Rattus norvegicus: one gene and its partners. The protein of the gene in region 7 interacts with the protein of the main gene of each other region in a pairwise test. Links are inferred from orthologs where the notes say so. Each region holds a gene or a part of one and is shown on either strand. Other genes may lie near its edges.

Region 1 (2,640 bases), on a different chromosome or scaffold from region 7:
TAATGTAGACCAGGCTGGCCTCAAACTCAAAGATCTGTCTGCTTTAACCTTCCAACTGCTGGGTTTAAGGCTGTGCCAACACTACCCACCCCTTTTGCTCGTTTGTTTGTTTTTTTTTTGTTTGTTTGTTTTTTTTAGTAACTCTGAAGCCAGGACCTTGAAGAACATCTGTTTTCAGGAACCTCCTGGGTCCCTTCTAACCACTAGCTGGCCAAACTACAGGGCGATCATTTCCTTAGGCAAGCAAACACTCCAAGACTTTAATATGGTATTTCCTGGGGCTGAAATATCAACAGGAAGTCTTGTGGATAAAAGCTCTGCCAAAACATTCATTCCGAGAAAAGGACTGGGTAAGTGACAAATCTGCCCAGCGTGTACAACATCCTGCAGCCTCCACGTGAGGCTGCAGAGTCTCACGTCTACAACCCTTTTCCTCCTCTTAGGCTCTTCAGCTAGCGAGATCAACAGATATGGTAAGACGAAGGACCAGACCAAAATGTGCATTTAAACAACGTGGTCGGGACATTTATTGGCATTAGGAAAGGATTTCTTTAAATGGTATAAATAAAATGAACTCAAACTCTCCATCTGTTCTATTTCACGATGATAAAGCAAAGAAGGGAAGAGGTAACATTCCTGCTTCTACACCACAGTTTAAGGTACAAGAAGCTAACAGTCCCCAGAGCAGTAAAAACTGCTTCCCACTGTCTCTCAAGACACAGTCAATTGTCAGTCCAAATTCTAAGAAAATTTCCCGGAACACAGAGGCGATTCTCCCCATCCCCGGTTCAGTGACCTGTAGCTGAGAAACCAGGACAAGACTCGCTAGGCATCAAGATCAAAGTCATCGCGCTCCTCATTGTACTCCAACACGTGCCGCTTGATCTTGGATGAGTCCACCCAGGTGACAAAGTCTTCCATGCTGCGAGTGACGAGAAAGGCGGGATCGGTGACCACGTCTGGGCCCACGCGGACGTGACCCTGCTCCACAAAAGCCACAGCAGCCTGGAGATGCTGTGCCATGCGTAGCTTGAGGAGCAAAGTAGGCAAGCGGCGGCGGCAAAAGGACGAGGCGGAGACGGAGTCGCAGAGTTCTAGTGAGCCGCGCGTGGGCACCAGGCCCAGAGCGTACAACTTGTCCAACAGCGCCGCCGAGGCGCGAACGCGAAACGGGTCGCGTTCCGGCAGGTCGCGCAGGCGCCGCGCCAGCTCGCGCACGGCCCGGCTCAGCTGGTTGTAGCGTGTGTACTCCTCGCGCCGCTGGAGCCCGTACCGTCGCAGTACGCGCAGCTCGTGAAGGTTATGGTCGGTGACTTCCCAGTTTAGGAAGTCCACCTGTTTCAGCAGCTTCTGCTCATGGAACTTAAGCTTCCGCACCATGATGGAGAAAGCCCGAGAAGCTGAGAGCACGTTGAGAACCCAACGTAATTTCCGCCACGACAAGGGAAGACCCCCGCCTCCATGCTCCTGGACCAATCAAAAGAAATATTGAAGACACGCCCCCGACTTTTCATTCGTCCAAATCTGGAACTTCCTGTTTTGAAAGGGGAGTGGGGAGAAAGACTTGCGGAAGGAGAGGCGTGTTGGGCAAAGACAGCTTTATTAGCAGTCCGGTAGACTTTCTCTAGTGTTGTGTTTTTTTTTGTTTTGTTTTGTTTTTAAGATTTATTCATTGACGTATTTTATGTATGTGAGTGCTCGGTCTTCATGCACACCAAAAGAGAGCTTCAGATCCCATGTTTGTGAACCATCATGGGATTCCTCAGGACCTTTGAAAAAACAGTCAATTATTCTTTTTTTTTTTTTTTTTTTTTTTTTATTTTTTTTACAGTCAATTATTCTTAATGAGCCATCTTGGCAGCCCCTAGTCTGTCAGATTTCTGTCTTTGATGACCAAAGACAGTCTGCCCCCTCAATAGATGCAGATGTCAGTTCCCAGAGTGAGGAGTTATCGTCTTTAAAAGAATTGTCTCATATTTTTGGTTGTGAGCCAAACTTTTAATGGCTGAGCTATCTCTCGAACCCTGGAAAGATGGTTCAGCAATTAAGAGCACTGGCTGCTCTTCCAGAGGTCATTGAGTTCAGTTCCCATTACCCAGATGGTGGATCACAACCATCTATAATAAGATCCGATGCCCTCTTCTGGCATGCTCATGTACATGCAGCTAGAGCACTGATAAAAGAAATCTTTAAAAAAAAAAAAGAAAGAAAGAAAGAAAGAAAAAAAAAAGGGTACACAAAGTTAGAAAAGTAGAATGCTAATAAATTTTTAAAAAGAGGAGAGTATTGTCTCTGCCAAGAACGCGGTTAGAACTCTGCAAACGTCTCAGTTCCAGTGGTTCCTAGAGTTGAGGAATAGTTCCATCCCAGCCAGCATCAGGTCTGTCACTGGACTGGCAGAGGGATTCTTCTTGCCAAGTAATACTGAGCAATACCAAACAAATAATCAGAATTGGAAGCAGCTGTGCCTTTTACTTTTTTTGACACAGTTTCCTTAGGTAGCCCAGGTCAGCCACAAATTCACCACAATCCAACCAGCTTCGATCCAAATTAATGAGATTACAAGTGAGCATGAGCCACCTTGGCCATCATTTTATTTTATTTTATTTTATTTTATTTTATTTTATTTTATTTTATTTT
Region 2 (3,500 bases), on a different chromosome or scaffold from region 7:
TTCTCTCCCCGCCCTAGAAGCACTAAATACCATCGCTTTTTAAAACATCTGATGCTAATGCTGAAGGCAACAGTTGAAAGGAAAGGTCCAAACAGGTAAATCTCAGGGTCTCTGGGGAAGGTGGGAGTTTCCAAATAACCCCGCCCCTCCTCCAACTTGTCCTGACTTGAGCAGAAGTCCCACCAGCTCTCTCACCCCCATCCTGCTAATTAATGCAATGGGCCTTTCTTCCCCACAAGGCTGCCCAGCACCATCCAGCAGCTAGTGACAGAGCCAAATGCAGGTGCTGGGTCTCAGCCAAGGCCCCTGCTTCATGGCCTCCTTCCAGCCTTGCTGATGTCATAAATGGCCTAAGGGAGGGTTAATTGGGGAAGGCAGCCCCAGGGGATGAGATCCAAGCTGTGGGGGAGAGGCAGAGCTCGGAAGAATGCAAGGTGGGCTATAGGGGTTAAAATGGAGAATGGTTCAAAACTAAAGGCTGGGGGACTGGTTCAAACCCAGATCTTTTAAAAAGCGCTGGCAGTCCTTGTCCTAGGGTGTGGCTCCCTGCCAACCCAGGCAAATGAGAGCCTAATCCCAGTGCACCTGGAGAGGAAGACTCCAGGGAGAGGTGGGCAGGAGACTCTCCTGGGAAGAAGGCCCAGGCAAGTCTAGACTGCCTCCAGGCCCCTTTGAGATGTCCCTTTCTGGATGCCCATAAGAAATGGGTGAGGGTGAGGCCAGGCTGTTACCCATGGGAAGATTATCTTTGTGTCCAAGACTTTACTAATGCCTGAGCAGATCCTGTGGGGCCAAGTCCAGGGAGGTGAAGACATAACCCTGCTCTTGGGTTGCTCACGGGGCTGACACACAACAGTGAGGAAGCAGCAGTCACACAGTTGTGCACACAGGCTGCCTGGTTTAGAGCTTAAGGCCAAGGTGCACCAGGCCAGAAGGAAGGAGGCAGAGAAGCATTACCTACCTCAGGTAGTCGCGCCGGCACAGGATGAGGTTAGCCTTGGTGTAGAGAGTGGAGCCCACCTCGCCCAGGCGACAGTCACAGCAGGCACACTTGAGGCAGTCCTCATGCCAGTACTTGTCCAGGGCCTTCAGCAGGTACCGGTCCTTGATCTTTCGGTTGCAGCCTGCACAGCCCTTCTGCTTCCCCTTAGGTTGGACGGAGAGCATCGGCACACCTGTGATGGAAAAACAAGACAGGTGGGTACGGGACTGCCCTGGAGTTCTGGGGCACCACACCCTTCCAGGGGAGGGGGCGAGTATGTCTTTCTCTTTACTGTTTCCTCTAAGTAAAGGCTCCAGAGTTCTCATTTCTATCTCTTCCCCAGGCCCCAGGCCTGGTCTATTGGGCAACGTGCCATAGCCTATGCCTTGGTCCTGTCGAGACCCCTCCAGAAGCTGCTGGGCTTGCTGGGCTCTTCTCCTTCCTAGTCACTGTCCCGTGTGTGCAAGCTTCTCGACATATAGGAAGCAGCGACAAGTACCAGGCAAGACTCGGTGTGCAGCAGTTACAGAAGGCAGCGCCTGCTGGTAGGTAAGTGTGCGCACTCACAACTGCCGTTGCACACAGCACAATGTGCAAGTGTGGGCATGGTGAGCACTCAGTCACACGCGCCAGGTCCCCTGGAACCACTGGGAAGGGCAGCAGAGGAGGAAACGGGGACACAGTGTCCAGGAGCAAGGAAGACGAAAGTGCCGGGCAGGGGGCACGGAAACCAAGTCTGTGGTTGTACATGGAGGGCTGCCGGAGGACAAGCCTCTTGAGAAAACATGGGGTGGGTTAGAGGCAGGCTTTACCCACAAACAAGTCAGCAAAGCCCACCATTCCAACACAGCCAGCTTCTGGCAGGCCCCAGTCTCTGTCTCCACTGGCCTTCTCCTGACCCAGCGACCCATCTGTGTTCTTCCTGTGTGTAGGACTTAGTTCCAGCCCTGGGTACCTTTCCCATTCCTAGCTCTGACGCTGTGCCTATCCGCAGGCCCAGCTACTGATTTGTATCCCGCCCTTTCCTTTCCCCCTTCAGGGAGGAATGTGTCCTCTGGCTTCAGGGGACACCCCACCACCTAGTGACCTTAGATTCACAGATATCAGGTCAGAATAGCCCTCCCCCCGTTTTCCAGGCAAATGTTCTCCTCCTACAGATGGGGAACCTGAAGTCCAGGTAGGTAGGATGGTTAAACCACTAAACTGCTGATGGGGATGACTTGAGGATTTGTTCCTGTTCCAGTCATCCCCTCTGACTTCTGCTGGAGAGGAGGACAGCCCCTAGGACAGGGAAGTCCTCTCTGCAAGAAGAGAGCTCAGACATAACTGACACCACAAGACCAAAGGGACAGGTGAGGGCACGGAGGAGGAGGCCCCATAGCTGCCCCTGATAGGCAGAGGTCAGCTCCCTTTTCCCTCCCTCCTTCCATCACCATAGGACCATCTGTTAGCTGGGAAGTTCACTGCCTAATTTCCTTAATGCAGCTCTAAAGGTTAATTGGTCTGAATGAGAGATAGTATTCAGGATGACGGCTGTCCCAGGGTCAGCCTGTGTCTCCTCTGACAGAGCCCAGATCTGCCCATGAAGCTGACCTCAGAAGTTCCTTCTAAGGCCTGCCTACGGGGAGGGATAAAGTGTAGGAAGATAAAGGGAGGCCTGGGCTCCGAGGATGGGAAGACTGTCCCTTGAGGCCTGTGGAGGGTCACCCGTCCAGGAGAACTGTTCACATAAACACCAAGTCAGACCTCAAGCCAGAGACACCTTATAGCCTCAGAGACTGCCCTGTCCTTCTCACCTGGTATGCAGGAGGGAGGGCTTGGTCCCTTTAGGGCTCTATACTTGGTCTCTCAACTCCTGTCTCCCCAACCCCCTCTAGCCTGCCAGCCAGTCAGCCCCCTGCAGACCTCCCTGCCCCTCCTCTGCTGGCTCTGGGAGTAGAGCCTGGGGCCATGCACTTTCCATTAGGAAGATAGCAGCCCTCTGCTGAAGTCCATTTGGGATCCATTTTAGCGTTATCTAAAAATCAAATCTACATGGTAATCCTTTTAACGTACTCCCCGACTTCAGGGGGGAAAAACAGCTTTGCACTCCTTCAGGGGAGGCTTTAAAGCATTACCCAATAATTACTACTCACGAATGAAAACACCCATCTCTAACAATGGAGGCTGCCTGTGCCCACATGCATGCCCAGGCACATGCTCAGGTACACACACGAGGCCCGGCAAAATAATCGTCTCACTCAGCCCATGCGCTCCCTCAATCCCAGGGAGTACAGGGAATGAAGCCAGACAGGCTGAACTCCGATCTCTGTGGCATGAAGGCAGGCCGCAGGCCTGAGGACGTGGCGTGGGAAAAGTCTTACAGGTGAAGTCTCCCAGTCCTAAGGGGTCTGTGCAAGGCTGCAGGGTAGTACAAACTCTGATCCCTGGGCCCAGCAGAACCCTGACCTTTACGCTCAGCTCTGCAATGTGGGGTAAAGTTGGACACCTCAGTAATGAGGTGGGACTCACAGAGGTC
Region 3 (4,106 bases), on a different chromosome or scaffold from region 7:
AACATATTCAAGCTTAAAGCATTTTCAACATTTAGCATCAGTTACATTTAGAAAAGTCCTAAAAGTTCAAAACCACATATAAGATACGCTATTGTCATTTACTCCACATTTTGGGGATAGAACGAGGTGATCTGTGGGTAAGAGCAGCAGCGATGTCTCCTCCTTCCAAACATCCATGTTCTATTTTACTCAACATGTGTGAGCTGAAACCTAAAATCTGTGTTTTCTCAAATAAAATGCCTGACATTTTATCAGACACATGATCGTTACGGAAAGTGCAGCACCCAGCATTCTGTGGTGTGTTTTTAGTTCTAGCGACATCCCTTTCTGTTCCCACTGCACCTCCATCCAACACCTCACACTTCTAATCTTGCTCCTGGCTAGAAATTAGAGCCCACAAGCTTCATCTGTGCATTAAACAAGAGCTGAAGCTTTGAAGCTTTTAAGTTCTACCTCGTGTTGAAGGGGCTTATCTGCCTCATTCTGAACCAGTTATTTCTAATTCAGTCAAAGCTCTTGGTGTAACTAACTCAGGTTTCTGGGTTTTTCGGCTTCTTGTTTATCAGACTAAAATTTATTTCCAATTTCTGAATTTACAGCAATTTATGTAAAAATGGTTCAATGGTTCTGAAATTCTTCTCACCTTTATTCTGTACATTTTGACTAACTTTAACCTCCGAAGAAGGTCTTCCTTCTCTTGAACCTGCCTAGTCAGTTTTGCTTTTTCTTCCTTCAAAGTTTGCTTTATAGTCTTCTCAGTAGAATCTTTTTGGAGGACACTGGATGACCCAGTATCAAGTGACTTAGATTCACTCGTATTTTTATCCTCTGAGCTCTCTTTTTCAGGTTCATTGTCTTTGTTTTCCAGGCTTTCTTGGGCTTTTGAACAGTTTTCTTCTTTTGAAGATTCTCCTGGTTCTGAAAGGGTCTGATCATTTTCTTCATTCTCTACCTTAATACGCTTCACCACACTACAAAAAGGTTGAGATGAAGCTCTTGCTTTCTTTAATCTTTCTTTAAGTGTCCCACTCATAGGCTGAAAAAGACACAAAACATCAAATGTTAAGAATATATTCTTGGGGCTGGGGATTTAGCTCAGTGGTAGAGCGCTTACCTAGGAAACACAAGGCCCTGGGTTCGGTCCCCAGCTCCGAAAAAAAGAACCAAAAAAAAAAAAAAAAAAAAAAAAAAAAAGAATATATTCTTGAAGTACATCAATGTATTCGAAACAAAGTCTGTACGCTTCTATGGTAGGTACAATGGGTTGCTTTTGGTCTCCAAAAACCTCAAGTGGGCATCACCAATGTATCTAAGTTCCAGAGGCTACCTTTAGTCTTGCTTTAGCAAGGTTACCGTCATTGGCAGCTAGTATTTGCCTGACAATACTAGAAACAGAAATGTCTCAGAACTATAAACTAAGGAGAAGACCTGCTACCAAAGACTTCCCCCTGAAATACGGTACAGATATGTTTCCTTGGTTTGGAGCATCTCAGTAACCTGGTAAGAAATTAAACGAAATGAACTGATTCAAGAAGAAAATCTGGCAGTTAGCAAGGTATGGGCTATATATTAACTCACACTCCAGTATCCTTAGAACTGCCACTATTGGAATACTTTGAAACACAGGACAGATGGGGGTAAAGGACAACACAAAATTTTCATACTTGTTTTCCTGAACTATTCGAATGGAGTGATGGTGGATTTTCACTGGTCTGAGGCTTGTCAGGTGAGGTTGGGGGTGATGGTGGATTCTCACTGGTCTGAGGAATGTCAGGTGAAGTGGATGCTGAATCTGAGGGGTTTTCCATCTTGGAAGTGATCTCCTGATTTCCTTCTAGAAAGGGAAAGACACGAGAATGATAAATTAATTATCTCAAAACAGACCTCAATTTTTTCAACAAAATTTTCTTCAGTGAACTAAACACCAAAAAAGTCAGCAATTTCTTCCAATTATTTGTACCTGTAATTTATTCTAATTCTTTTCATATTCTTTCCATTTACTTCTCCACATGGGGAGTAACCAAATTTTGTTTCTTTCACGACAAATAAACCGGCTAGTATCTTATTGACACTCATTTTTCTCCTTCAAAACATCTCCAAAAATTTGGATTTCGGGGAAGGGAACTAACTCTACGTAGTCAAGAATTTTAATCTTTGTTATAATTTCGTAAATAAAAGCGATACAGTCCGAATCTTGAATCCTAAAAGCTTTGTGCCTAGAAGAATGAGTCCCAAGGAGCCAGAAAGCAGCGTCGGCCCCTTTTGGTTTTCTAGGGTCAGGGCCTCTGCCTTCCTCCCCCGCCCTATCTTTTCCACCAAGCCCCGCCTTCTCCGCCCCGCCCCCTCCGCCCCGCCCCTCACCCCCCACCACAGAAAGCCCTCCCCCCTCATTCTCCCTTCTCTACTCCCTCCCCCGCACCCTCCCCTCACCCTCCCACCACAGAAAGCCATCCCCCCTCATTCTCCCTTCTCTACTCCCTCCCCCGCCCCCTCACCACAGAAAGCGCTCTCCCGCTGCTCCCTCCCGCGCTCTTTTTTCTAAGCCCAGTCCCCCTCCTTCTCCTCTCCCTCCCCCTCTCCTCCACCTCCCTCACCATAGAAAGCCCTCTACCCTACAGAGCAGGAAGTCGAGCCCCCGCGACGCCGGGAAGAGCTTCTCTATCAGATATGCAGACACCCGCAGGCCTGACGCGCAGACCAGCCCCAGGGAGAAAGCTCAATACCTTCCTCAGCCATGCTCACAGCAGACACAGCGTACACAACCAGCGTAGCGCCCGGAGTACACTGACCTCGCCCCGGGGGCGGAGCCCCACCGGAGGAGAGACGTGCGATTGGCTAGCTTGACCGTAGCGGGCGGATGTGCTTTGTCCAATTCCGACTACGCGTGCGCGTAGGCCCACGAGCCTCAGCCACGGGGCGGGGCGGGACCAGGGGGGAGGCGGGCGCGGCTCGTGATTGGCAGGACTGGCCGGCGCGCTCCAGGGCTCGGCCACGCGCGCAAGGCCGCCAGGCTAAGGGTGGCTTCCAAGGCAAAAAATAGTGTCAGGCCTTTGGACGGGCCTGAGGGGGGCGCGCTTCCGCTCGCCACTTCCTACGAGGGTTGCTGTGCCAGCCGCCTTCCCAAGCAGCTTCCCTTGGGGGAAGGGAGAGGGGTGCATCCTCTGGGTAATGGGCCTGAGAGCACCGCCCCCGCGCGCCCGCCCCCTGGCAGTCTCCGCTTTCACAACAGCAGAGGCTTTTCCTCAGACGTGGCAGGACCGGAAGCCGCGGGGCCCGTTTGGCTCCCTGCTGGCGAACGCTTCCTTAGCCTTTTGTGGTCTGTTTGGAAGCCAGCTTGATAGGAATCTATCCCGGCGTCTCTGCACGTGCAGTAGAGAGCATCTCCAGCTTGCTTTGCAGTCTCGCCCCTTTATTTTGGTCTATGCCCACTGGCTTCACTTGTTTTGGTCCAATCTGAGAAAATGTAACCTAAGGAAGTGTATTATGGCGCAGGACAGGAAGCGGGACTGTCGATCCGATCGGGTCGGTCTAGCATCCAGAAGTTTGAGAACTAGATCCCGGGGTGCCCCTAGGAGGCCCCTTGCTAGACGCTGGGGAGCCCCTGGGAGGCCCCTTGCTAGACCCTGGCTCGACTCCTGGGAGGCCCCTAAGAGGCCCCTTGCTAGACCCTGGCTCGACTCCTGGGAGGCCCCTAGGAGGCCCCTTGCTAGACGCTGGGGAGCCCCTGGGAGGCCTCTGGCTAGACCCTGAGAGGCTGCAACGCCTTCTGGTGTTAGGGATGTTCTGTTGCTATGCAACAGCAAAGTGAACTAGCTTGGGTGGAGCACTGGGTGTAGAGAAGTCAGCTGAGTAACCTGTGAGTCACTGGGAAGTTTGTGAGAGAGGACAAATCTCTTTCCGAATATCTGCTAATGGTGGCTTTAAAGTAATCCGAAAGAAGTGGTCGGAATCCTACGCAGTCAGTTATAAATACAGAACCTAACGAAACTTTTGGAGGTGATTAGATCTGCAAATGTTGCAGTTGCCTAGATTCCAGTGCTGGCATTGTGGTTTTTTATTTGCTTTGTTTTTGCTATAGCGTGTACGTAATGTGGACGTGTACCTCA
Region 4 (3,949 bases), on a different chromosome or scaffold from region 7:
CTCTTCAGAGCATGACCTCCACACACACACAGGGTCAGCCTTAGCACTCCATCCCCTTGTTATTGGCTCTGCACCTCAGGGATTCCCTTCCGTGTTTCCACCTCGAGGAGCTATGTCAGGGCCTATCTGAAAGTTTGTAGGTAATGGCTCTTTTGTACTGCGGCTGTGGTTCCTCCCCACCACTGCCTTAGTTTTTCCACCTCATCAGCTCTGCGGTGCTGTCTTCTACAGCGATATCTCCCGTTTTTTTGTTTTGTTTTGTTTTGTTTTTTTTTTTAACTCGGGTTGACTCGGGGCTCCCTCCTCTCCCAAAGGACATGCGCTGCAGAAAAATTAAAATTTTATACATATGACACCCAGTTGTCTGTCCATGACTCTCAAGCCGCAGGACCAATTGGGGGGAGGGGGGGAGGAAGATTAGGCCAAGTTTTTGTGGCGATAGCCAAAGCACTCTAGGACGGATCCCTGGGCTGGGGCCACACCCCATGGACCCGCCCCATCTCTCAGTCCTCCAGTCCTGTTCCCTCCAAATATGAAAGTCTCTCCGCGTATAGATCAGGGAACCCGTGGGAGACAGAATAACTCTCTGGGAGGGGAGCGAACTCCCAAAGCTATTCGCCTCAGACCCCAGGGCCTGGCAGCCGCCTTCTCTGCCACGGTAACAAAGACTAGCCAGGGAAAGAAAAGGCGTGGGGAGGAGCAGCTAGAGATGGGAAGGGCGGGTCCGACTCCAAGCAGCTGCCGCTTCCTCTCCATGTCCCTTAGGGGGCCTGAGTCACGGGCCGCCGCCCCGGGTCGGCCTATTGGAGCACTGGGGTCTGGACACCCCGCTTCTCTAGGGCTGCAAGGAAGGAAGCGGGTGAAGGTCTCAGGAGACAGACAACCGAGAAAAAGGGGATTGCTACGGCGGGAGAGAAGTCCCACCAGAGTCCCACGCGGGAAGGAGGGCAGCGAAGCCCCGCCCTTCGCCGGGCTCCTCCCTGCGCCCCCTTCCTTCGCCCCATTGTCCGTAGACAAAGCGGTCGCCGCCCCCGGCTGGCCCCCTGTCTGCGTCTCCGTCCCTCCTCCTGGGTTCCCCCTTCCCTCCTCCTCTGTTTCCCTCCCTCCCTCCGGATCTCCCTTCGCCTCTCTCCTCCTCTTCCTCTCTCCCGACGCCCGACTCCACTGCACCTCCTCCTAGGGACCCCAAGGCGTGTAAGTTGACTGTAGGGCTCCCACTTTAAGGGAAGTGCCTCGTGGCTCTAAATCTCCCTTGGAGTGCCTCCCCTTTGTGCACAGATTGTCCGTTCAGTCCTCTCGGGTGCACGTCCCACTGGGTCAAGGTCCCCTGAGAGCCGGGTCCCTGGTTGGGGGACATCAGAGGCGCGATGCGGGTCCTCGTCGCGCCCGTGTTCTGGGGGCGCATCTGGTGGAGAGGCCGGCGAGATTGTAGGGACTGGACGCGGGTGGACGCCAGGGTTCTGGGAATGCATAGGCTGCCACACTTGCTCGGGTACCAAAAGTCCCCGAGGAGGGTATTTCCCCTGACCCGCCTCGGGGGCGGGATAGGCAAGTGGGGTAGGGGCCGGGCTGAGGGGCGGGGCCGAGCGCCGCTGGGAAGGCAGCCGGGACCTGCCGAGGCCCCGCGCGCAGAGGCGCCGGCGCCCTTGCCCGTTTCCCCGTCTCCCCTTCTCCCCTGGACCTCTGTCCTCCTCATCTAGCCTCACCTCCTCACATCTCGTCCGACCTCTTCGCCCCTCGCCTGCTGCTTCTCTCTTCCCATTTATCTCCCCTGGGTACCGGGGAAGCAGTCTCGACTGAACCCTCTCACTTCTCGGCCCCGGCTCCTCCGGCTCCTCGCTCTCCTGCTTTTCCTTACCTCCCCTTTTCATATCTCAGGGACCGTCTGGTGCCCACAAACCCCAATCTGGCTCTGCCTCTGCCCGGAATCTCGACTCTTCCTCTCCCATTATCCCCACCCCCAACTTGGCACCCGGCTTTTCTCCTCACTTTTTCAGTTCCTGACTCTTTTGCCCTCCTTCCTCTCACGGCCTTCCTCTATTTTCATTCTTAACTCTACAGTCCCTCTCTGCCCTTCTTAGTTCCTTCCCTCATCACTTCCTCCCTCCCCCCACCCCCATTCTCAGTCTCTGGGCTTCTCTGAAGCTCACCCTTCCTGTTCCCGTCCCCCAATACTCTCTCCTTCACTTCCAGCGACCATGACCGCTATCCCAGATTGGAAGCTACAGTTGCTAGCCCGGCGGAGGCAGGAGGAGGCAGCGGTTCGTGGCCGTGAGAAAGCAGAACGGGATCGCTTATCCCAGATGCCAGCCTGGAAGCGGGGAATTCTGGAACGACGCAGAGCCAAGTTGGGCCTACCTCCTGGAGAGGGGAGCCCTGTGCCTGGGAATGCAGAGGCTGGACCTCCAGACCCGGATGAATCTTCTGTCCTTTTGGAGGCTATTGGGCCAGTACATCAGAACCGATTCATCCAACAGGAGCGACAGCGGCAGCAGCAGCAGCAGCAGCAGCGAAACGAGGTGCTTGGTGATAGGAAGGCTGGGCCTCTGGAGGCTCTAGAACGGAGATCAAGTCCTGGTAATTTAAGAGATCAGAGCCCTAAGGGAAGAGAGTCAAGAGAAGAGAGGCTAAGTCCCAGGGAGGCCAGAGATAGGAAGCTGGTGATAGGAGGAACCCAAGAGTCAAGTTCGAGGTCTTTGGAGACTGGAGACTGGAGGCAGAGCCCAGCAGAGGCCAGAGACCTGGATTCCAGACCAGCTGAGGCTCAGAAATGGAGGCTGAGCCCTGGAGAAACTCCAGAGGAGAATCTGAGATTAGCAGGTTCTGGAGATCACAGTCCCAAGAGAAAAGAGGTATTGGAAAGCAGACTGAGCCCTGGGGAGTCTGGCGACCAGAAGACCAGTCTGACAGAGGCCCATAAATGGAATCTTGACTCAAGAGAAGCCCAGAAACAGAGCTTGGTACAGCTGGAGGCCACGGAGTGGAGGCTGAAGTCAAGTGAAGAGAGAAAAGACTACTTGGAGGAGTGTGGGAGTGAGGAAGAGAAATTGGGTTCAGGGATTGCCCCAGACCAGCCTTCAGTGACAAAGGAGGTTCAAGACACCACCTCTAGAGAAGTGGAGACTGCCGAGCAGAGGCCCACTGAAGGCTGGAAATGGACCCTAAACTCTGGGAAAGCTCGAGAACGGACACCTTGGGACATAGAGACGCAAATTCATAAGGCAGATCCTCCAGCATCTTCAGAGAAGCACCCGGGACCTTCTGCTGTGGAGGCTGGAGGGGAGGCTGAGAAGGAGGAGGCGGGGGCTCAGAGCAGGCCTCTGAGAGCCCAGCAGAACCGCTGCTCTGGGCCCTCCCCCCTCCCACCAGAGCACTCTGGGACGGAAGGCTCCAGACAGCAGGAAGAGGAAGCGGCAGAACCCCGGCCCCCAGCACCAGCCCCTCTGTCTCCCCCACCCTCGGCCCCAACTGCCCCCCAACCCTCTGGGGATCCCCTCATGAGCCGTCTGTTCTATGGGGTGAAACCAGGACCGGGGGTGGGGGCCCCCCGACGCAGTGGACACACCTTCACTGTCAACCCACGGAGGTGTGTGCCCCCTGCCAGCCCAGCCCCTCCAGTCAACCCTGCCACAGCTGATGCTGCAGGGTCTGGATCTGGCAAGAAGCGGTACCCAACTGCAGAGGAGATCTTGGTGCTGGGGGGCTACCTCCGTCTCAGCCGCAGCTGCCTTGTCAAGGGATCCCCTGAAAGACATCACAAACAGGTAAGAGAGCTACCACGCCTGACTGGGTAGAAGTCTCTTTCTAGTTCTGACTGGATGACTTTTTTATATGCCTGTGCCTCTTCTATTCTTTTTATTCTTGCCAACTCCCTTCCTCCCCCTGCACACACCCTTCCTCCGGGTGGCCTTCCTTTGCCATTCGTTTTGGAGCCCCAAGGATTCCGTTC
Region 5 (4,170 bases), on a different chromosome or scaffold from region 7:
TGCTGGATCTAGTGGGGGGTAAAAGACAGTTTTTAATTTAATTTTACAACAACAGCACTCTTTTAATCCCAGCACTCCAGAGACAGAGGCAAACTCATCTCTAGTCAGCCAGGGCTGCACAACAGAGAGACCCTGTCCATACACAAATAAAGTAAACCTGCTGGGCACACAGATCACTTATGCACCTATCTGCTAGCAAAGGAAGATTGGGCAAGGACATGTCCGGTCTACCATGAAATACAACAAAAAGATGTGCACAGCCAAGATAGGTAGCACTTGCTTACAATTCTGGCCCTTGAAGGTGAAGTCAAGAAGACCAAGAGTTCAAAGTCATCCTTGGGTATATAGAAATGGCTGTGTGTGGCCAGCCTGAGCTACATGAGACCTCATTTTAAAGACAAAGTAAAGAAATAAGATGTGCAGAGTACAGATGTAACGTGGGAATAAGAGCCTAAAGCGATGTGAGGAGGCCACAAACCAAGGAATACAGTTGGTCTCTGGAGGTTGGAGAGACGGCTCAGTGGTTAACACCTTCTTCTAGTTTTCTCAGGCTAGAAGATTGTGTAGGTACACACCCCCCACCCCCCTACACACACACATACGCATGCACTCACACACAAATACACATAACTAAAAATTTATCTTAGCCAGAAATGGTAGTGCTTGCCTTTAATCACAGCACTCAGAGGGCAGAAGCGGGTGGCTCTCTGTTAGTTCCAGGCTAGCCTGGTTTATAAAGTAAGTTCCAGGACAGCCACCAGGACTACTATAGAAACTTTGTCTCAAAAAAGCCAAAAATAGCCGGCCAAAAATAGCCGGGCCATGGTGCAAACCTTTAATATCAGCCTTTGGGTAGTGAGTTCAAGGCCAGTCAGGTCTTCATAGCTATATGTAGTCCAAGACAGCCAGGACTACACAGAGACCCTGCACCAAACCAAAACAAAACAAAAGAAACCTATGGATCCTTGGAGAAAAACATTAAAAAGGTAAAAAAAATAAATAAGTCAAAATAAAATAATAATAATTAAAAAAAAAAAAAGGACAAAGAAATGGATTCTGGATTCTACCCTCAGACTTCCAAGGATCTAGCCCTGCTTAAAATCCTGCCTTTGGCCAAGTGAAACTAATTTTAGATCACTACTAACTACTATTATAGTAGAACAAATCTGTTTTTATTTCAGTGGCCTAAAATAAATTCAAAGCACTAGAGTTACTCTGGATTATTGAGTTAAAAAAAGACATAGGGGCTGGAGAAATAACTCTGGTTAAGTTAAGAGCACTGACTGCTCTTCCAGAGGTCCTGAGTTCAAATCCCAGCCACTACATGGTGGCTCACAACCATCTGTAATGGGATCTGGTGTCCTCTTCTGGTGTGTCTGTGCACTTATATATAACAAGTAAATCTTTTTTTTTTTTTAAAAAAAAGACATAGGTAGGTTTTAGTAATTATTATTTAGCTACATTCTGAAGTATTTGAGGGTGAGAGAAAAAGATGTGACTTGCCAAAGGTAGCACAAGGGGGAAAGGCAAAGTAGCAAGAGGTTATGTGTTTGAATGTTCTGTAAGACTATATATAAACGCTCCCCATAGCTGAGGGTAGGACTGAGGTGTAGAGTAGCTGACTGCCTGGTGTGCTGGAGGCCCTAGTTCCACCTCATCATAGTCAAAAAAAAAAAAAAAAAAAAAAAAGGTTCCAAGCTGAAGATGTAGCCCAGTAAAAGTGGTGGTGGCCTCCACCTGTAATCCTAGCATTTGGAAGTTGAAGGCATTCGGGATCTAGCACAATTGCTGAAGGATCAGGAATTGAAGAACAGCCGAGGTTACATTGCCATCTCAAAGCAAAAAACGTTTTACCTTGGAGAATAATATTGATGATGGGTTGCCCTATCCTTTCAACAATAGCCCTTTCAAACTTTTTGATTTATGCAAGAAAATCTAAGTAGACAAACGAAGAACACTTCTGTAAAAGCCTGTCAGTCACCTGAAGCTCGGACTCTTCATTATCAACTCTGCAGGGTGCAGAAAAAGTTGTGGCGGCAGGCCACAGCGGTGGTCCTGACTACGTGTCCCACATTGCTAGTAGCAGAGGGTTTTACCTGCAGTTCTCCTTGAACCGGCACTTTCCCTCCAGGAAGAACGGGCAGGGCTTCAGGGACTTGTGGGTAGGGTATAGGTAGAGTACCCGAACGCACGCAGAACCATCCTCCGCCTCTTCGGCGCCAACAACCATGGCGTTGTGATACTCTAGCGTGCCCCACGCGCTGTAGTAGGGGGCATTCACTTTAGCACCGCTCAGATCCTCCAGATCTGGGTCCTCTTCCTCTTCCTCCAGTGCAGAGGAGGTGGGTGTCGGCTGCACCTCGCTCCCAGGGACCGTCTTCGAGTCATTGCCGGGGTCAACGGGTGCTTCCTCCGCTATAGCCTTCTGGAAAGCCAAGTACTCAGCATCTTCTTGGTGCTCCTGGTCCACTGTAGATAGCAGCTTGCTCTTCCTGACCGACAACAGGCTGGCCTCGGTGAGCTCGATCAATTCTTTTAGATCGCCCTGCAGCTGGCGCAGGTCCGCCTGCTCAGAAGCGTCTAGGCCAGCACCGAGCGCCAGCTCTACTTGCTGAAGCTGGGCCCGGTAGGTCTGCAGGGCAGTCTCTAGGTTGTCCTCGTCCATCCTGACCCAGAAGGCTGGTTTCGGAACCTTTAAGGCAGACAAGCTCTGAAGGAAGAGCAGTAAGAAGGGCTAAGTGCAACGCCGCCCCCCCCAAACCGCTAGAAAGGCTGAGGAGGACCCAGGCTCTGCCGAGGGGACCTGCACTTAACCCGCCCCCGTCCTCTGCCGTCCGCAACCCCACCTCCTGACTGCGGTCGCAGTCTAGAAGGGTTTCCGGCTTCCCCAGCAAAGCTCACGCGCTAACCTTCCGCCCTCCGCTGGCACTTCCGCCGGAGAGCCGATGCTGCCGGAAGTACCGGCGCGCGGGGGACGCTGGGATGCGACTCCGCCCGTGCTGGGTCTGTCGATCCTCGTTCCGTCAGGCACCGTGAGGGGTCAACGTGAGGTCGGTGGGGTTAGTAACGCGGTGGCGGCGGCTCCTCCTCCAAAATTTGAGCAGGTACAGGTGGGCCTCAGCTGAATTGAGGAGCTGGGGTTCTAGAGTCCTGAAATAGGGGGACGGAAGTGGCTTCAGCAGATGGTTCCTAGTCTCCGTGGGCCCAGCAGCGGCGGGAATCCGAAGCCGACCCTCGCCAGAAGCTTTGCCTCTTTGGTAGCTCCCTAGACAGTCCGCTGGCCCTGCTTCCTGTCGCTGAGTTGAGGGTTCGGAAAGAGGATCCTTTGGAAGGCGGAGTAGAGTAGGCCGCCACGGGCTTTTCAGGGTTCCAGGTCGATGGTGTATTCTGAAAGATGACCTTAAGTGGGAGTGGCCCAGGTTTAGCAGGTGGGCAAGGGTGGAGTCAGGGTCAGAGATTTTTAACCGAAGGGGGTGGGGGGGAGAGTCAGGATCCTCATTTAAAAACTAGCAGGATAGACTGATCACTGATGAAGCGGGCAGGAGGCCGATGACCCTGGTACACACCTTGACATCTCTCAGGGTGCCAAACAGGATGTACACGCTGCTTTCCGGGCTGTACAAGTACATGTTCCAGAAGGATGAATACTGCATCCTGATCCTGGGCCTGGACAATGCTGGGAAGACGGTAGGTCCTTGTTCTCTCACGAGTTCCCATTCCCCGCTTGATGTTTTCTTATGTTGGAAATCTAACCCGGGGCCCCAAGACTACAGGTTAGTTGTCACCAGCCTCCTGAAGAGCAGTCAACAGGCAGAGAGGTGTGCGTGCATATGTGTATGGATGTGAAGGCCCAAAGCATATAGGTGTGAAGGGTTATATTGGGAAGAACACCAGAAAACTGCTCTAGGTGCTGCTATCTAACCACCTCTCTTTCTTTCCTCAGACCTTCCTGGAACAGTCAAAAACACGATTTAACAAGAACTACAAGGGAATGAGTCTATCCAAAATCACCACTACCGTGGGTCTAAACAGTAAGGGGGCACCTTAGGGATATGAGCTTGGGGGGGTCCCTTAGAAATGGATACTGTAAGGTCCACAACTCAACTGACCAGTGGTCAGAACCCCATCTCTCTATTCAAGCCCCCTGGGATTGGTACCAGAATGTTTTGT
Region 6 (4,138 bases), on a different chromosome or scaffold from region 7:
ATTTTTATCGTGTGTGTGTGTGTGTGTGTGTGTGTGTGTGTGTGTGCGCGCGCGCGCGCGCGTGTGAGCGTGTACATGTGTGCTCATGCATGTGCATGCCCCTCAGCTCATGAGGAAAGCATATGGAGGCCATTCAAGCTTGCAGGAGTTCCTTCTTTCCCTCTACCATACAGGTCATGGGGTTGGAACTTGGGTCATGAGGCTCAGCGGTAAATGGCTTTACCTGCAAAGCCAGCTCAAAGAACCACACTTTCCTCTTTTCCTCTGAGCCTTTGACATGGTGCTCTCCACATTCAGGGTGGGTCTTCCCCCTAACCTAGTCATCTGTGGAAACAGCGCATGCGCGCGTGCGCGCACACACACACACACACACACACACACACACACACCCGGAAGTATACTTTCCTTGGCTCCCAGGGTACTGTAAATCTAGCTGAGTTGGTGAGATTAACCACCACAGCACGGGAACTCAAAGGTGCAGTGCTGCCAACACATCCTCTCTCTTCGTCTGTCTGGCCTAGGGGAGGCTGGTGGGGCTTCAGCCTGTGCCTCAGGGGGCTGTTCTTGCTATGACAGGTGGGAGGAACTGCTTTCTGAGTGGCATCTAAGCAGTGGACCAATAAGTGCTGTCAGGGACCCTCAATCAAGCCTCACACTTACAGGTGGGTGAACTGAGGCACAGAGCAGAGGCCGGGCTGGACCAGAGCTGTATATGCTTGGATACTCACAGCTTGTATGCCCTGCTAACCTGTCAACCCTGTGAAGGAGTCAGGAGACATGGCCCCCATTCTGACTGAGCGGCTCCTGGGCAAGTTATTTGTTTTATTCTCCATTTCTTCCTTTCCTTTTTGGGAAGGGTGGCTACAAGCCTTATCATGCCATTAAGTGTTAATGGGAGGGGGTCCCTCATGTTCTAAGTTAGTGGTTCTCAACCTTCCTAAGGCTGTAACCCTTTAATACAGTACCTCAAGTTGTGGTGACCCCAACCATAAAATTATTTTGTTGATATTTTATAACTGTAATTTCGCTACCGTTTTTGAATCATAATATAAATATCTGATATTCAGGATGTCTGATAGGTGACCCCTGCGGTGATCACAACCCAGAGGATGAGAACCACTGAGCTAAGTGCTAAAGCAAGATGGTAGGTAGCCCATATGCTGTCATATTAAACAGTGTTTTTCATTTGTTTTTTTTTTTTTTAAGATGTACGCTATGTAGCCCAAGCTGCCTGGAAGTCATAATCTTCCTGCCTTTGCCTCCCAAGGGGTGGAATGGCAGGTGTGCCAGTGTACGCCTATTCTACTGAATAGAGTCGTCATGTTTCCTATGGGCACTCTGTACTTTCCCTATCTTTTTCTCGTGGTGAGTGAGTGGTGGCTTGTGGAACTGGTCCTAGTGGTCCATTTCCAGATCTGCTTTCTTGATCTGGGTAGCTGGTGCCATGCCAGAAGCAGGGCACTTCTCCAATGGAGTCTCGGAAGACCGCAGAAATTTGCCCATGCTGTGTGCTCTGGTCGAACCATTAAAAAGAAACCAGCATGAAACCAGGGCTTAGAATAAAAATCAAAGCCACAACCAAAGCTGTTCCTGGGTGTCTTCTCTTACAGGACAGGCTGGGAGGGACCCAGTTAAAGACAAGTAGGAAAAGGTGCTATGTTGATAGTTCCCCAAACACATCCAAGCCTCAGTTTCCCTATGTGGGAAATGGGAAATTAATCCGTTTGCTAAGCTCCTTGGGGATAGAGGGCTCTGAAGGGTCTGCCTTATCTCTCCACACCCTCCGTGGTAAAGATTTTTAGCCATCACAATAAAGCATGGCAGAGGTTGGTACCGATAGCTTGGGGACCTGCACTTGGCCCAGAGGACAGAGCAGCGTCACAGGCTCCCACCCTATACTATCTCCTGTGCGTGACAGTCTTCATCTCCTGGGTGCCTTGGCTCTTGTTCCCCTGTTCAAGGGGTCCTACCCTCTTCAGTCCTCCTGGGTACTCAGGCCACGTGTAGAGCCTAGGCCACCTTTCTCAGGGGGTTGCAGAAGGAATGAAAATCTAGAAGAAAGCAGTAACAACCCTTGCCCCTAAGACAAGAACTGAGAGGCACCTATTCAAAGACAAGGAGGAAGGAAATGCCAGGGGCGGCAGCCCTGGCTGCGGGAGTTTGAGTTTAAGCCCCCTTTCTTTGTAGGGCAGCTTCCTCCGGTCTTCACTGGAAGGTCAGCCAAGGCTCCACCCGCCCTGCTATGGAGAGATGGGCACCACAGGACCCCTGAGTGCTTCCCCGTGAAACTTGCCACCGGAAGTGCTCTCAGTTATGGGTGTGCATCAGAATCCCCTTTGGGATTGGGGAGAGGCAGTGTCGGGGTCTCTAATGAAAGCAGGGTGCCTACCCCACAACCCTCAGGCAGAGCTCTGGATTCTGTGTTCTGCTGTAGGGTCTGCCCTTTGAGAAATACAAGTCTGGACTTGTTCCCAGGAACAGAGATGGGGTCTGGCATTTTAAAAAGAGTCAGGCTTGGAGGTTGTTGGTGGGTATTCCTGGTTTGCCCCCAGTTTCTGAGGACAGCACTACAGATAGCAGTGGCTCTCACCATCTTTAGTCCCTCCTACCTGGTCCCCAGGGAGTTCCCAGAGGGTCTCTCAAGGAGATCACTGGGTCTCAGTGGGAGGAAGCCAGCTAGGCTTGGGGTCAAATACTGACTGACCTGGAATCTTCAGGCTTTGTGGGTTCAGAGGTCCAGGAGGGTCACATGCTCCATTTCGATCTCTTTTTGCAAGGTCCAACTGGACGGTCGAACGTCTGCCGCAATTCTGAGTTCTCCTTTTGAAAACAGGAAATCGGCTGAGTGATCTCCCTCAGAGGCTCCAGCTCATTGGTTGCTGAAAGGTCTACATGGAACCTCATAGACAGATGTCTGCAGTACATCATACAGGCCACGTGGTACAAGGCTGCCCACAGGAGTACAGTCTAACCTCACCTCACAGCAGCTTTAAGCAGCTCGATACCTATTAGACACTCAGACAGCTGTTGGCATTTCGGAGAATCAATCTCAAAAAAACCTTTGTTTTAGTCCTTTTCTGTGGCAACGACAGAAGACCCTAGACTGAAAAAAGTCACGTATGAAAGTTTATTTAGTTCGTAGCTGTGGGTCTGGAACATGTAAGCGCACATTGGCAGTGTCTGTGAGGGCTGTCCTGCCACATGTGACATGCCACGGTAGGAGGTGGGCAGGCAAGAGGAAGCCTACCTTACGCACCCCAGTTTCACAGTTACAGCATGAATGCTTTTATGAAGACTGTCTTTATGACAGTCAACCCTCAGAAGACCTCACCTCCCAAACCTATAGTGTTGGGGAATCACAGTCTAACACAAGGATTTGGGGATACCTCCTTTTTTTTTTTAAAGGTTTATTTATTTAATATATAAGTAAGTACACTGTAGCTGTCTTTGGACACACCAGAAGAGGGCATCAGATCCCATTACAGATGGTTGTGAGCCACCATGTGGTTGCTGGGAATTGAACTCAGGACCTCTGGAAGAGCAGACAGTGCTCTTAACCGCTGAGCCATCTCTCCAGCCTGGGGATACCTCCTTTTAATAGTTATTATACTAGCTATGAGCTCGGCATAATGGGCCCTTCATGTTCTGTTGACAGGCAGGAGAACTAAGGTTTGGAACACTTGAGCTGGTAGGACGCAGAGACAGCACCTGACACAGAGTGGTACTGGGTGGCCTCCAGGTTTCCATTAGGAGATAAGACATACCACGATTTGTGACAGAGTTCCAGGGAAGACAGACCCTAGCACAGGGATGTCACGTATGGCTAGCAGGGCATGTGCCCTTAGGAACAAGAGGCTAGAGAAGGACAAGTTATAACCTTTTTCTCCAGCCCTGGAAGGCCTCTCATGTACCATTCTAGCTCTATTCTTCTCTCCTCAGCTAAAATGGCGGTGTGTGGGACAGTGAAAGGTACATAGGAGTTTCACCCGTTCCTGGGTATTAGGCCCCCATCACTAGCCACAGCTCTCCATAGATTTGTGGCCACCAGTCACATATGGGCAATACCCCAAGACTCTCCACAGATAGAGGATGTGACCTGTTGTCACATAGGCTCAAAACGGATCTCCATTTTAATGAG
Region 7 (2,733 bases):
AACCACCACAGTAGGGTTCCTACTGGGGGTGTCCTGGGACTGTTTCCTAAACGTGACATTTTTATTTTTATTTGGTCCTTTGGGAGTTTACTCTGTCTAGTGTCCTGTGGACCTAGTTACTTATGAGGCCCCACCATTTTGTCCTGTCATAGGCTGATAGCTGAATCTGGCTCCAGGCAGCCTTCCCACACTGTTGTGCAGAAAACACATGGTGATAGTCGCTTCCTTCTGTGTGACGCATGCTCTGTGCCCTTGAGACAGTATCAGTGCCTTCCTCACAGCCTACGAGAGCTAAGCTCATGTCCACAGCACCTGGTCCTTGTTCACTGTCAAGGGCCATGCAAGTCACAGCGCTGCGCTGTGAGTAGACTGAAGGTGGTCACAGCAGAAGCAAAGGGTGTTGCCTCTTACTTAGCCTGATGCACAGCGGCACTATTTCAGTTCTCAGTGAGGCCCAGAGTTTATGGAGGGCTCCGAGGCTTCAGGGCGGTGGCTGGAAGGGAGCTGCTGTCTTCTGTACCTGTCCCCATGTCACCTCAGCCAGCCCAGCCATGTTTCCAGCACTGCTTCTCCTGTACTTCTCACAAGTTTGCATTTGGGTCACACTGTGGTCCTTCAGTCCCCATAGTCTAGCTCCTCAAACGTTTTTCCATTTAAAGTTTTTAATTATGTTTGTGTCTGTGCCTGGTGGATGATCCTGTTGTACACAAGTGCAGTGCCAGGGATGGACAGAAGGGGTATCAGAACCCACGGACCTGGAGTTAGAGAGTTGTGGGCCATCTGAAGTGGGTGTGGGAATCAAACTCTGCAAACATAATACATACTCCTAACCAATGATCCCAATTTTCCGCTCTACAGAGAGGCCTCTGTAGCAAGGGATAGAATAACAATTGTAGGCCATGCTAGACAATAAGGTGACCTCATAAATGGTGACTTTAGGGTCCACATCTCATCTGATACTGAGAGGATCACTTCTGATATCTGATATTAGCTACGCAGCTCCTGGACCAATTTTGTGATACTGACTCTCCCAAGCATGCAGTAAATCATGTTCTTGCCCAGGTCCTTAAGCAGCAAGTCATATACCATGTCATCATGATGCTCTGGTGTTGGCTCTGCGTACCCGGGGTCACCTCTCCTCACTGTTCTCCCTTCTCTCAGGTGCCTACATGCAGCCAGGTGCGAGGGAGAACATTGCCTACCTCACCCACACGGAGCGCAGGAAGGACTTCCAGTACGAGGCCATGCAGGAGCGCCGGGAGGCTGAGAACATGGCACAGAGGGGCATTGGTGTGGCTGCCAGCTCTGTGCCCATGAACTTTAAGGACCTCATTGAGACCAAGGCGGAGGAGCACAACATCGTGTTCATGCCTGTCATTGGCAAGCGGCACGAGGGCAAGCAGCTCTACACCTTTGGCCGCATTGTCATCTACATTGACCGGGGTGTGGTGTTTGTGCAGGGCGAGAAGACGTGGGTGCCCACCTCCCTGCAGAGCCTCATCGACATGGCCAAGTAGACATGGGCCACGACAGACAGGCGAATAAACAGCACTGTGAAACAAGCTGGTAAATAACGTCTCTATTTGGGAGACCATGGCACCAGGGCAGGATGTGACTCAGTGTCCCCAGTCGGGCTGTAGTCCCGGCCTAGCAAAGAGCTGGTGTGGTGTGCACTGTGGCCCCTGGCCCAGGTGGAGAGAATGGTGTCCTGCTACTCCAGCTGAGTGGCTGTGGGTTTCCTGATGATCTCCAGGTCCTCACAGTTCTGGTAGTCAGGCTCTTCCCGGGATGCCCACAGGTCCTCAGATAAGCCTTCCAGCTTCAGAAGAGGGAACCAGTGGACAGATGTGTCATTGAAGGTGTCGGTGTACTGGGGAGTTTGAGGCAGTGGGAACTCCTCCAGGCCTTTCAGAATCTGAGTGGAAAGGGCCAGACACAGGCATTAGGCATGGCCCACTCTTTGTTCACCTGCCTACCCCACTGTCCTTTTGAGATAAGAAATGGGGATTTGTATTTGAGCACTTTTCAGTTCCACGGGTAGTGGGAATGCTGGGCTCACCCCGAGGGTGAAGGGCACAGATTAGGAGAGGGACCAGCTGGTTGTGGATGGACAGTGTGGCTTTGCACCCCTACCCCAGCCCAGCTATTCTGTCAGACACCTTTGCAATGTATGAGTAATTTTCCTGAAGAATCCTCGCCAACAACCTACAAATAAAAAACACATATGCAATTAGGAAGTACATGTTTTCTTTCTCAACTAACAACAGGTAAAAAACAGGATGACTTCAGAAGGGTTGAGGGATGTGCAGGAGGGCAGCACAGGCAGGCACTGGGAAGCAGATCAGGAGTGGTCCGCACACTTAGAGCATGGCTGCCCAAACATGCTGCCCTCAGAAGAGGGACACTTGCAGATTCCTTCAGTGCCTTAAGCTGGACCCAGGGTTTGACATCTGCCTTAAACCTTTAACTCGGTTCCTCATGGGGAAGGCGGGGCTGGCATTCCTGACACTCACCTTTCCTCGAGGCCTTGGAAACTGTTCCCGATGATGACCACCCTGGACAGGGCATCTGCAGACCAGTTGCTCCACAGCAGGTTGTTGTATAGAGCTGTCCCACAGTGTGGCATGTAGAAGACAGTGGGCTGGCTCTGGACACTGTGCTTGCCTTCCTGTGGAGTCAGCAGGACGTGTGCTAAGGAGCTGAGTGCAGATCCCAGCTCTGCTGTGGCAGGGC

The links.
Region 1: the proteins of Tfip11 (region 7) and Imp3 interact in binary tests that used the Homo sapiens proteins (3 or more experiments, as listed by UniProt). The two-hybrid records come from large-scale screens. The link is inferred for Rattus norvegicus from reciprocal best matches to the Homo sapiens genes TFIP11 and IMP3.
Region 2: the proteins of Tfip11 (region 7) and Lmo1 interact in binary tests that used the Homo sapiens proteins (3 or more experiments, as listed by UniProt). The two-hybrid records come from large-scale screens. The link is inferred for Rattus norvegicus from reciprocal best matches to the Homo sapiens genes TFIP11 and LMO1.
Region 3: the proteins of Tfip11 (region 7) and Sfr1 interact in binary tests that used the Homo sapiens proteins (3 or more experiments, as listed by UniProt). The two-hybrid records come from large-scale screens. The link is inferred for Rattus norvegicus from reciprocal best matches to the Homo sapiens genes TFIP11 and SFR1.
Region 4: the proteins of Tfip11 (region 7) and Ppp1r18 interact in binary tests that used the Homo sapiens proteins (3 or more experiments, as listed by UniProt). The link is inferred for Rattus norvegicus from reciprocal best matches to the Homo sapiens genes TFIP11 and PPP1R18.
Region 5: the proteins of Tfip11 (region 7) and Zgpat interact in binary tests that used the Homo sapiens proteins (3 or more experiments, as listed by UniProt). The two-hybrid records come from large-scale screens. The link is inferred for Rattus norvegicus from reciprocal best matches to the Homo sapiens genes TFIP11 and ZGPAT.
Region 6: the proteins of Tfip11 (region 7) and Snx20 interact in binary tests that used the Homo sapiens proteins (3 or more experiments, as listed by UniProt). The two-hybrid records come from large-scale screens. The link is inferred for Rattus norvegicus from reciprocal best matches to the Homo sapiens genes TFIP11 and SNX20.

Annotation. Positions count from the first base shown.
Region 1 is NC_086026.1:66,234,247-66,236,886, reverse strand, and holds Imp3 (U3 small nucleolar ribonucleoprotein protein IMP3), read right to left. Parts: upstream 1,390-2,640; 5' UTR 1,381-1,389; coding exon 826-1,380; 3' UTR 501-825; downstream 1-500. UniProt on the Homo sapiens protein: Component of the 60-80S U3 small nucleolar ribonucleoprotein (U3 snoRNP). Required for the early cleavages during pre-18S ribosomal RNA processing. Part of the small subunit (SSU) processome, first precursor of the small eukaryotic ribosomal subunit.
Region 2 is NC_086019.1:172,571,034-172,574,533, forward strand, and holds part of Lmo1 (LIM domain only protein 3), read right to left. Parts: intron 1,176-3,500; coding exon 962-1,175; intron 1-961. UniProt on the Homo sapiens protein: May be involved in gene regulation within neural lineage cells potentially by direct DNA binding or by binding to other transcription factors.
Region 3 is NC_086019.1:256,559,227-256,563,332, reverse strand, and holds the start of Sfr1 (swi5-dependent recombination DNA repair protein 1 homolog), read right to left. Parts: upstream 2,801-4,106; 5' UTR 2,737-2,800; coding exon 2,724-2,736; intron 1,835-2,723; coding exon 1,665-1,834; intron 1,037-1,664; coding exon 644-1,036; intron 1-643. UniProt on the Homo sapiens protein: Component of the SWI5-SFR1 complex, a complex required for double-strand break repair via homologous recombination. Acts as a transcriptional modulator for ESR1.
Region 4 is NC_086038.1:2,889,530-2,893,478, reverse strand, and holds the start of Ppp1r18 (phostensin), read left to right. Parts: upstream 1-1,149; 5' UTR 1,150-1,194; intron 1,195-2,193; 5' UTR 2,194-2,198; coding exon 2,199-3,764; intron 3,765-3,949.
Region 5 is NC_086021.1:188,850,249-188,854,418, reverse strand, and holds the start of Zgpat (zinc finger CCCH-type with G patch domain-containing protein), read right to left. Parts: upstream 2,801-4,170; 5' UTR 2,666-2,800; coding exon 2,097-2,665; intron 1-2,096. Other genes in the region: Arfrp1 (ADP-ribosylation factor-related protein 1), read left to right, coding at 2,946-3,104, 3,511-3,687, 3,944-4,031. UniProt on the Homo sapiens protein: Transcription repressor that specifically binds the 5'-GGAG[GA]A[GA]A-3' consensus sequence. Represses transcription by recruiting the chromatin multiprotein complex NuRD to target promoters.
Region 6 is NC_086037.1:34,608,059-34,612,196, reverse strand, and holds the start of Snx20 (sorting nexin-20), read right to left. Parts: upstream 2,801-4,138; 5' UTR 2,705-2,800; intron 1-2,704.
Region 7 is NC_086030.1:49,959,525-49,962,257, reverse strand, and holds the end of Tfip11 (tuftelin-interacting protein 11), read left to right. Parts: intron 1-1,161; coding exon 1,162-1,517; 3' UTR 1,518-1,711; coding exon of another isoform or gene 1,712-1,915; 3' UTR 1,916-2,159; coding exon of another isoform or gene 2,160-2,205; 3' UTR 2,206-2,233; downstream 2,234-2,733. Other genes in the region: Srrd (SRR1-like protein), read right to left, coding at 1,712-1,915, 2,160-2,205, 2,514-2,668. UniProt on the Homo sapiens protein: Involved in pre-mRNA splicing, specifically in spliceosome disassembly during late-stage splicing events. Intron turnover seems to proceed through reactions in two lariat-intron associated complexes termed Intron Large (IL) and Intron Small (IS).